3 linked regions of the Sus scrofa genome follow. Each later gene encodes a partner of the first gene's protein in a complex. Links are inferred from orthologs where the notes say so. Each region holds a gene or a part of one and is shown on either strand. Other genes may lie near its edges.

Region 1 (4,186 bases):
TTATTAGTTGAATTTCTGTCCTCAAACAGATATGTTATGCTGGTTTTTATTTTGTTCTGTTACCAAATGAGATACTCTTGGGTAGGTCTGTACCCATTGAGGAGAGAATTTATGCAAGCTGAGCTATGGAAGCTTTTTCTAGAACAGAAAGGCCCCATTAGGGGCCAAATGCGACATGCACAGCGTGGCTTCCTGAAACAGTGGCCTTCCCGCATTGACTGCAGAGTACACGTGTCTTCTCTAGAGATAGTTGTTCGGGCTTTCAGCCTTGAAATTTGCACTGTTCCCGGCAGGGTGGTTGATTTTTACTCTTTTTCCTCTTCCTTCATATTTTACTAGCATGACATTCAGGGGATTTTTTTTTTCCCGCCTTTTAGGGCCACACTCGCAGCATATGGAGGTTCCCAGGCTAGGGGTTGAATCGGAGCTGCAACTGCCGGCCTACACCACAGCCACAGCAGCGCCATGTCTGCAACGTAAACAGCTCATGGCCATGCCGGATCCTTAACCCACTGAGTGAGGCCAGGGATCAAACCCGGAACCTCATGGTTCCTAGTCGGAATTATTTCTACTGTGCCACACAGGAACTCCACATTCATGGGTTTTGTGCCATCTTCCCGGTCAGGAGCTCCTTCTGGGGGCCACTGTGCTCCTGGATCCTTTACAGACCAGTGCCCTCAGTCTTTATACCCAGAACCCAAAGAAGCTCAAGAAGTCCTGGAGGGCTGGGGTGGGTTCTGAACTCAACGGCACTTCCCTTACTGGACGTGAGCACTTCCCCAGCCCTGGGAGAGACGTGGACTGTCAGAAGCAGCCGACTTTGCTTCACACAAAGGAGAGGTTGAGATCTCTATGGCAGACTTAAACTTTCTGAAGAAAACTGCCTTCTCTGATGCAGAGAAGTTTGCTAGGATCACACTGACAAGAAACTTCTGAGAAGACTCCAGGGTCTGTCTCTCTTCTGCGGTTAAATGAACCTTATAGAGTTCATCTGGGCCTCAAGGAATCAGAAGCATCAAAGGGTCTTTGTGCTCATTGGGGAACTAGGAAGAGACCATCCATCCATGGGGACCTGTAATTCTGCCTTTTCTCTAGGAAGCAAGAAAAACAATGACTTTGGCTTCAGGGCAATGGAGGAGAATAGACTCGGAGCTATGTTCTGCTTGGCCTCCTGTGTATTACAAACCTGACTTGTAATCAGGTTCTTCTCTTGGGAAGGAAGGCACTAGGGCCCAGGAGTGAGGTGCTGGCTTTGTTGTGTGACCACAGAGGGCTGGTTACGCACTAATTTCCTCTGGGGCTTGTGATGAAGTCAGTAAACCACAGCCTTCAACATGCTCTGCTCAGGCAGCAGCGGTGGCTTCTCAGTGCTGTCTCGGCCATGACACACATTTGACATGCCCTCCTTTAAACCGCTCAGAGACGGTCTCTCTTGCCCTGCAGCATGGACCAAAGAGAAGTCCTACAGAAGTTCCTGGATGAGGCCCAAAACAAGAAAAATAACAAAAAGGAGTTTGCCAGTGAATTTCTGGTAAGTCCTATATGTGACCCGGTCGGGCTAGTGACATAGATGTTTAACTGCTTGCAATGGTCCAATTCTTTTAGACCAAATTGCTCTTGTGATCAAGTGCATATCAGACCTTTGGGGGAAGAAGGCATCCTAAAAGTGTGACTTCTCTAAGTGGCGTGTGTGTCCTTCGGGTGTCCTCTACCATGCCTGATAGCTTAGCTTTCTTAGCAAAACATAGTTTGGAATATTTTGTGTGCTAGTTCTTGGAGGTTGACTGGGAATCCTCCAAAAGACCTGCATCATTCCAGGGGTACAAACCTAATATTCATTGAACATCTGGAGTTCCCAGGTATCTGAGTTCTAGGTTTATGTTTCAAAGGACTCATTTTCATGCATATCAAGAGGAACCAGAGCAAGGTTCCCTTTTCATGGAGCATTACCCTTTTGGCCTCCTGTGGGGTTCCATTTGGATGACAGAGGCTTTTGAAGAGCACCAAGCCACGTTTATTTTTTGTCGTGTCTTTGGGCAATAACAGGGTTTCCTTAACCTTCTTTTGCTGGCTGGGGTAGGACAGGGAGCAGAGAAAAGTGAGGGACATGGTGAGAAACATAAGCACAAGGGAGCCTGGGATCACCTGGGTTTGATTACCCAGGGGAACACGGCATCTCCTGCGGGGGAACTGGTTATTGACGCAGTGGCAGCTGAGCAGGCCTCATTCATTCAATGAGCCAGCTCGCCCGGGGACACAGGATATCTGAGGGTACCTACCATGCATTTTGGAATACTTCCAGCTGATGATTCGAAGCTGTAGGGACTTCAAACTGTACCTTTTCAGCTGTGAAGAAATGGGAAAAATAAGAGAGTTTAAGTGTAAAATCTGAAATTAAATCATGATTCTGTCCTCAAGCAAATGATCAACTATTTGAAATGTGCCTTGATCTCACCTGGTCTCTATTTTCTAACTTCCGCAGTGGGGATAAGTCAGGCCCTGCCTCTCTGCACAGGATTATTGTGATGTCTCAATATCCACAACAATAATGCTTAAATGTGGCTGTTCATTCAGTAACACTTAATGAGCACCTGCTGTGTACCAAGTTCAGTTCTAGGCACTGAGGATATGGTAGTGAACAAAACAAAAACCTTTGCCCCCGTGGAGTTAACATTTCGCAGATAGATGTGAAACCACTTTGTAAATGTTCTCGAGTGATTAGGTTCTTATCACTGAGTTATTGCCTATTATGATAGAAACCACTGTGTCAGCTCAACTTGGATTATATTGTGGTGTCATGAAAAATTGCACTCTAACTGCCGCTGGCCAGGCATCTGAGTCTCTTTGAGTAGAGTTAGCAGGGATGGAGGGAAGACAGAAATCCTGGCCTCTGTGTCTGTTAGACATGTATCTGCTCCTGGACTATAACTGGACTATAGCTGGAGCCAGATTCACCCAATGCAGAGAGGTGAATCGTGAGCTGAGGGGGCAGTGGCAGCTTCTGTTTTATTTTGGTTGTGTTTTTGAAAATAATATAGACAAAAAAAAATAGAAAAGAAAATAATACAGACTACATCCCTAATATTTCACCTTTTCTCAGCTCAGTTATTATAACCTCTCACCAAATTCTAGCAGCTACCTCACCTCCTGTTTTCTCTGCCTCTTGCCTTGCCCCACCTTCAGTCAATTTTCCATTCAACACCCAAGTGATCTTTTAAGACTACAGATCTGGTTATTTGGTTTTTTTTCCCTGCTCAAAAACTTTTGACAGTTTGCATTTTTTTCCCAGCTGTTTGAAATTGTGAACTGTAGCACATTTAGAAAAGTCCACACAACATGTTTAAGTATAATGATAATGCAACCACTACTCAGGTCAAGGAATTAGAACCCTGTCAGACCCCAGAAGACCCGTTAAAAAAAAACCCTTCCCCATCTGGTCCCTCACCCCACCCTGTCCTGCCCAGGCCAAGGAATAACCACTAAATTGACTTCTATATTAATCACTTCCTTACTCTTCTAGCTTCTGAGTTTAAGGACTTTGTTTTTGGGTGGTGATTAAGTGGAACCTCACTGTTCACTGACTCATGTCCTCCAGTGGAAAAACAGAGCCTTTCCCTCCCTCAGCCCCACCTAAAGGTTTAGCTGAGATACCAGAGAGTGGCTTTGATGGGGTGCGGGGTGTGAATGGGGTCAGGCTGCTTGCTTGGACAAGGTAAATAACTGCCCTTAAATTGGAAGGCTTTCCACTAGGTCACGTCCCACATTCCATCTTCAGCTCTTCACATGTTCTCCCAGGATGTGCTGTTTCTGAGATCTGGGAGCTGATTCTGTGACATAGGCCTGCAGAGGGCTGCCTCTGTGGGAATTATCAAAAGTCCTCTCCACTTCCAGGTAGATGCTCTGTGCACCCTGCCCCCCCAACCCGCTGGGTCCCTAGCTTTGATTTCTGTCCCCACTTCCCTCTTGTGCAGAGCGCATAGCCCTGCTATGACAGCTAGAGCCAATATCATACTGTTTCCATTTTTCCCCATGCCAAGCTTAAACTCAATAATCCTTCTGTAGTTGAAACTGCCACTGACCCCTCCTGTAAGGTTTTCACGCATTCACTCTAATATTTATTGAGTGCTCACTGTGTGCAAAGCATCATGCTAGATGCTGGTTCTGCAATGCAATGCTCCAGGCTTTG
Region 2 (2,521 bases), on another chromosome or scaffold:
CGGGAAGTGAGGCCAGCCTCTCCTCCTGCAGCTGGCTCTTCCGTATGTATTTATCGAGTATCTGTGGTGTGCCTGGTGCTGGGTGCTCTTTGGGGACAAGACAGGCTCAATCTAGCCTTGTGACACCCTCGGCCCAAGGGGACCTAGGCATTAAACAAATAATCCCCCCCACTTATTCACTGGCGACTGTGCTCAGAGTTCCGACGGCAGCTCCTTCGCCCTTGGGGGAGGCTGGAGCACAGAAGTCTTGGCGCCCCCGAGGCTCCGCAGGGAGCAGGTACTGAGATGTCTACAGGGTGAGGGTCCGGAGAGCACTGCTGGGGAGGGAAAAGCCACTGGGACCACCCTTTGGGGAGCCCTCCTGGTGAGGGGCACCCCATAAATCACCCGAGGGCCCCCTGCCTCATCCTCCCCCCAGCGCTCACCTGCTTTTCCTCTGTCCCCAGGTTCTCCGGGCTACTGCACGGAAGTCCCAAGAATGCTTCGCCAGCAGCTTCTGCGGGTAATTGGGGGGGCAGCTGTCACCCGGGGGGAAAGGGGGGGATGCCTACTTGGCACAGATGGACCCCCCAACGGTTGAGGTCGGGCAGAGGCTGAGCCAGGTCTGGGGAAGCTTCACGTCCGGGGGGCCTCCAGGGATCTGTTTTTTTGCTAAGAGGCGGGCACCAGGCCTCACCCTGCTCTCAGCCTCCACAGAGACCCTGACTCCCATCCCCGATCGGAATGAGGGTGTCTACGCTGCCATCAACGTGCAGGAGGTACCAGGACCCCCCACCCTGCCAGCCCAGGACTACAGGGCGCTCTATGACTACACAGCCCAGGTGAGCGTCCCCCGCTCCGTCCCCTCGCTAAGAGGGCGCTGGTAGCCCCGCGGTGGGAATATGCTGGGCGGAGGCCCTTAGAACAGCACCCGGTGTTTATGAGGGGGCCCAGCCCGTACCTGCCGAGTGAAAAGTGCTGAATGGCGCGAGGCCCCGGGGCTGGTCACGCACACATGTCCAGGCAGCCGTGGGCATTGCACGGGCCCACGCTCATGTGCAGGCAGGCTGCCGGAGTCGGGGCTGCCTAAGGATGTGGTGTGAGGCTCGGGCTAGGCCCCCACGCGTGAGGCCCTTGTTCTCCATGACCCTGGGTGCCAGAACAAGCCATGGCCAGAGCGAGGCTTAGCTGTGCCGGGGTTGATCTTCTGAGGCCCACAAGGGGAGGATGAGTAAAAAGCCCCAGGACAGCTGTGCCCAGATCCTAGAGTCTAGTCTGTTCCTCGCTTTAAGGTGAGGGGTACAGAGCTGGACCTCAAACCTGCTGGGGCTGAGCGGCCCGGGGGAATGACGCTGTGCTTATATTGCAGTGGCAAGCGGAGGAGGGGGCACAGCAAACACACTTGCCCCTGACTTGCTGGGCTGCTGTGTCTACAGTGGGGACAGGGAGAGGGAGCAGCAGGAGGTAGAGCAGGAGAGAAGCCCCAGGTTGTGGGAGGCCCCCAGTGACAAACCAGAGGGGACAAGAGGCTGAGTCCCACAGGATACCCCGCATGCTACGTCTCCAAGGGCTGCCATAGCCCAGAGAATGGCCTGGTCTTGCAGCCCCAGGAGGCCAGCAGGTCTCAGCTCACAGCCCACCTGAGAGACAGGCTGGCACTTACTGCCCAGGTTGAGGGTAATGCCGGATCAGAGGCCCTCCCAGCGGGCACCTGCAGGCTGACGTGCTTTCACTCTCTTGCCCAGAATCCTGATGAGCTGGACATCACTGCAGGGGACATCCTGGAGGTCATCCTGGAAGGGGAGGATGGCTGGTGGACGGTACAACGGAACGGGCAGCGTGGCTTTGTCCCTGGCTCGTACCTGGAGAAGCTTTAAGGAAGGGGCAGTAGCCCACATCTGGACCTGCCCTGCCCATGGGGCCGGCAGTGCCCCCGTCAAGACGGAGCCTGCCCTCCCAGGAAGGGTGCCGGCCGCTCCTGGGCAGTCTTTTCCACAGGGAATAAAGGACTGCTTTTCCCCCTCTTTGCTCCCGTGTCCAAGTGCTCAATGTGGAGGAAGCAAAGGTGGGGAGAAGTCCAGGCGAGCAGAGCTTTCCGTGTGCAGTGTCATCACTGAGGCCCCAGCCTGGCTCTGTCCCAGGTGAGCTGGGAGTGGAGCGGTACCCTGGGAACTGCCAGGGAGACACATTCACAGCGGGCCATGGGGGAAGGTGGCAGGGGTCAGGGAGGAGGGGCTCGGGGGATCTGCGATGGGGAGACCGGGCTTCCTGGGGTCAGAGGGACTAGAGCAAGGCAGCAGCAGATGGGACACAAGGAAGAGCAGAGCATCGGGGATCATTCTGGGGATGAGCCGAGCTTTGTTCGGGGCAGGAAACAGGTGATGGGTGTGCCGAGGTGCAGGGGCATTATAGAGTCTGGGCAGGAGGCCTAGAGGCCTGTGGATGCAAGTGATACTCACTGTTTTCCAGACCCAGCTGGGCCTGGGGAAGCCATCGCTGCCCATCCGTGCAGGCTGACCCTGGGCACAGAGGTGGTCAGGCT
Region 3 (3,647 bases), on another chromosome or scaffold:
CACCCCAATCGTCCCCTTTCCCCACAGCTCTCATGGTACCAAGTGATAGGTCGGCCTTCCTGTGACACGGGGACGCCAGATCTTCTGAGAAGATGTCGGCAATACAGGTACTGCAGGGATGGGGGGCTAGGCAGTTGCGTGTCCCCACCACCACCACGGGGGGGTGCTGAGAGGAGAGAGAGTGAGGGTTCAGGTCAGTTCCCTCCCCTTTTCCCCAGTCCTGGCTTTCAACACAATAGATTTCCAGGGCACACTGGTCGTGCAGGGTCCTAAAGATGTGAGCACAGGTCTGGGGCAGTGGAGAGATCTCAGCTGGAAGATGCCCGGAGCTCTCCGGGGGAAGGGCACCTCACCCAGGCTCCTGCAGGCCAGCCAAGAGGCTGTGATCTCGAGGGTGTGCGGGCAGGTGGGCCGGGGTTGCCCTGGGCTGCACTGCCCACCTGTCACCTGCCTTGCAGGCCGCCTGGCCATCCGGTACAGAATGCATTGCCAAGTACAACTTTCACGGCACTGCTGAGCAGGACCTTCCTTTCTGCAAAGGAGACGTGCTCACCATTGTGGCCGTCACCAAGGTAATCAGTGACCTCAGCTCCCCAAACTCCACGCCCACCTCTGGGTCCCAGCTGCCCTGCAGGGAAGGGTGGGTGAGCCTGAGAGCGTGTCTGGGCTCCTCCCCACCCAGGACCCCAACTGGTACAAAGCCAAGAACAAGGTGGGCCGTGAGGGCATCATCCCAGCCAACTACGTCCAAAAGCGGGAGGGCGTGAAGGCAGGCACCAAACTCAGCCTCATGCCGTGAGTACCTCCGAGGAGCGATGGTTGGGGGCCCCCAGGCTGGGGAGGAAAGAGGACCAGGAGCCCTGGTTTCCCCAGAAGAGAGTCAGGAGAACAGGGAGGTGAGAGCAAGGGGCTGGGATTCCGTGAGGGCTTCCGGCAACGAGGGGAAGGGCGTGGGTGCTGGACCTGGAAGGGGAGGATGGAGCCAGGAGGACTGAAGAAAGAAAGTCAGAGACAGAGGGTGAGGGCCCCAGGGCCTGACACCTGCAGAAGCGTGTGAAGAACCCGGAGGGAGAGGGCCTCCAGGAAGTGGAGCCTGGCAGATGCATGAGGAGGCTGGTGGGGGCACCGGGGACAGTGCCCGCGGGCCACCACGACCCCAGGCCTGGCCTTCCCATAGCTGGTTCCATGGCAAGATCACAAGGGAGCAGGCAGAGCGGCTCCTGTGCCCACCAGAGACAGGCCTGTTCCTGGTGCGGGAGAGCACCAACTACCCCGGGGACTACACGCTGTGCGTGAGCTGCGACGGCAAGGTGGAGCACTACCGCATCATGTACCACGCCAGCAAGCTCAGCATCGACGAGGAGGTGTACTTTGAGAACCTCATGCAGCTGGTGGAGGTGAGCAGACACAAGGGCTGGCCCAGGTTCCAGCTCCAGTCCCACTGCTTCTGACTGGTGGCCTGGGGCACGTCATGCAGCCTCTGTGAGCAACACCCTGATAGAGCACCTGCTGTGTTCCAGGGTTGATCTCTGACCCCACCACAGGGAGGTGGCACCCTGGTTCATAGGTCAGGAAACAAAGGTTCAGAGCAGTTAAAGAACCCACCTCTGGTCACATGGTTGTAAACTAGAGGTGCTGGGACTAGAATCTGAGTTTTCTGACCCCAGAATGAGCTTCCATCCAGTTCCTCATAGACTATATGCCAAGTGTGTGTGTGTAAGCACATACTCATGACCTTCACCTTGAAGGGCCACATGTCCCTGAATCTTCCAAGGCCATCTGTGCCCCAGGCAGCCTTCACATGCCTCCTGCACTCACTGGGCGCCTTCGCCTTTTCTCTGCTGGCCTGGCTTGACCTGCGACAGGGGGCACCTGGGCCCACTAGAGCCTGATATCTAGAGTGAGCCAGGGCTTGTCCTCTGCCTCAGGATACTGGTGAGGCCCCAGAGTGGTAGCAACAACCCCAGTATCCATTCAGCACCTCGGTGTGTGGTGACATGGGCCAGGTGTCTGGGGCCTCCCTCACCCCTGCTGGAAACGCAAAGCCCTCCAAACCCAAAGCAACTGCAGGGCTGGGTGGAACTGGCCTCTGCTTCCCCCTGGTGGTCAGACCAGGACAGGGCATGGCAGCCATTGGAGTTGCACAGGGGACCCTGAGCGCCTGCCCTGCCCTCTGCAGCACTACACCTCAGATGCAGATGGACTCTGTACCCGCCTCATCAAGCCAAAACTCATGGAGGGCACCGTGGCGGCCCAGGATGAGTTCTTTCGCAGTGAGTGCCACCCCTCCCCGAGACCTCACTGGCCCACCCACCCGCCTCCCACCCAGGCTTCCTGGCACTACTTCCATCCCAGAGGCTCTGGAGGCCTCCAGGGAACCCCTCACCCCACCCCGACCCGTCCTCCACTTTATGTCCAGTCTGCCTCTGCTGTGACCCCTTCTCTGGCTTCACCACCCCTCAACTGACCACCCCCTCCCCCCAGGTGGCTGGGCACTGAACATGAAGGACCTGAAGCTGCTGCAGACCATTGGGAAGGGGGAATTTGGAGGTGAGCCAGAAAGGGTGGGAGCCCTGAGAGGTGCCAGGGACTGTGCGGAATCCAGGGCCAACCCTTAACTCTCTTCTCCAGACGTGATGCTTGGCGACTACCGAGGGAACAAAGTCGCCGTCAAGTGCATTAAGAATGACGCCACTGCCCAGGCCTTCCTGGCTGAAGCCTCAGTTATGACGTGAGTTGGACTGGGGGTGAAGGGGTAGGGAGGTCGCCCCGGGGGCCAGGAGGTGATGGGGAGGCTCGGCAGGCTCTGACCACCCCATGTTGCCCCAGGCAACTTCGGCATAGCAACCTGGTACAGCTTCTGGGCGTGATCGTAGAGGAGAAAGGCGGGCTCTACATCGTCACAGAGTACATGGCCAAGGTGGGTGCCTTCCCTGGGACCCAGCCCCCATCCTGGAGCTGAACACGGGCTCGAGCTTTCCAGCTGCCCCAAGCCCCTCCCCCCACACACACACCCTTGGGCCCCTGCTCCTTCTCTCCAGCCGAGCTTTGAAGTCACCCAGGCTCAACTTGGCTCATCATTTTTTCACTATGACCTTAGACCAAGCCTCAGGTCCTCACCTGTGAACAGAGGCACTAGCAAAGTTTACCTCAGAGATTTATGAGAATTAAGAAATAATGCATGAAAATTGCTGAGCACAGCGTCTGCTATTCCTTCAGAAGTGATGTCCTGACCCTTCCCCTGTCCACCTCCTCTTCACACTGCCCACTGAGTGTCACCGGTTACCCAGCCCCAGGCCTACTGTTCCCAAGGTCTGGCGGGCAGGTTTGACTTATAGGGCCTGTTGGTCTGTCTGTCCACCCCAGGGGAGCCTGGTGGACTATCTGCGATCCCGGGGTCGGTCGGTGCTAGGCGGAGACTGCCTCCTCAAGTTCTCGCTGTGAGTGAAGCAGCCCCTGGGGGCGGGGCGGGGCGGGGCGGGGGTGGGGGAGCAGCCCTGCTCTGGAACCCCTGTCTGAGGGGACCTGTGGCTGGCTCTCTCCTAGAGATGTCTGCGAGGCTATGGAATACCTGGAAGGCAACAACTTCGTGCACCGGGACCTGGCTGCCCGCAACGTGCTGGTATCTGAGGACAACGTGGCCAAGG

The links.
Region 2: the proteins of PTPN22 (region 1) and PSTPIP1 are in contact, whole or in part, in a crystal structure (PDB 7AAM), measured with the Homo sapiens proteins. The link is inferred for Sus scrofa from reciprocal best matches to the Homo sapiens genes PTPN22 and PSTPIP1. Residues at the interface, in NP_057051.4 of Homo sapiens: Ser793, Lys794, Pro795, Gly797, Pro798, Arg799, Asn800, Pro801, Pro802, Trp805, Asn806; in NP_003969.2 of Homo sapiens: Thr225, Arg228, Asn229, Trp232, Asn236, Ser239, Met240, Cys242, Val243, Asp246.
Region 3: the proteins of PTPN22 (region 1) and CSK are in contact, whole or in part, in an NMR structure (PDB 1JEG), measured with the Mus musculus proteins. The link is inferred for Sus scrofa from reciprocal best matches to the Homo sapiens genes PTPN22 and CSK. Residues at the interface, in NP_033005.1 of Mus musculus: Pro614, Pro615, Leu616, Pro617, Glu618, Arg619, Thr620, Glu622, Ser623, Phe624, Ile625, Val626, Val627; in NP_001291690.1 of Mus musculus: Phe20, Thr23, Gln26, Ala40, Val41, Thr42, Lys43, Asp44, Asn46, Trp47, Ile59, Pro61, Asn63, Tyr64.

The regions. Positions count from the first base shown.
Region 1 is NC_010446.5:106,690,795-106,694,980, forward strand, and holds the start of PTPN22 (tyrosine-protein phosphatase non-receptor type 22), read left to right. Parts: upstream 1-1,307; 5' UTR 1,308-1,444; coding exon 1,445-1,531; intron 1,532-4,186. UniProt on the Homo sapiens protein: Acts as a negative regulator of T-cell receptor (TCR) signaling by direct dephosphorylation of the Src family kinases LCK and FYN, ITAMs of the TCRz/CD3 complex, as well as ZAP70, VAV, VCP and other key signaling molecules.
Region 2 is NC_010449.5:57,143,209-57,145,729, forward strand, and holds the end of PSTPIP1 (proline-serine-threonine phosphatase-interacting protein 1), read left to right. Parts: intron 1-446; coding exon 447-502; intron 503-687; coding exon 688-821; intron 822-1,724; coding exon 1,725-1,856; 3' UTR 1,857-2,003; downstream 2,004-2,521. UniProt on the Homo sapiens protein: Involved in regulation of the actin cytoskeleton. May regulate WAS actin-bundling activity. Bridges the interaction between ABL1 and PTPN18 leading to ABL1 dephosphorylation.
Region 3 is NC_010449.5:58,737,948-58,741,594, reverse strand, and holds part of CSK (c-src tyrosine kinase), read left to right. Parts: intron 1-27; 5' UTR 28-92; coding exon 93-107; intron 108-458; coding exon 459-572; intron 573-682; coding exon 683-795; intron 796-1,177; coding exon 1,178-1,397; intron 1,398-2,179; coding exon 2,180-2,273; intron 2,274-2,484; coding exon 2,485-2,550; intron 2,551-2,631; coding exon 2,632-2,731; intron 2,732-2,829; coding exon 2,830-2,920; intron 2,921-3,366; coding exon 3,367-3,440; intron 3,441-3,546; coding exon 3,547-3,647. UniProt on the Homo sapiens protein: Non-receptor tyrosine-protein kinase that plays an important role in the regulation of cell growth, differentiation, migration and immune response.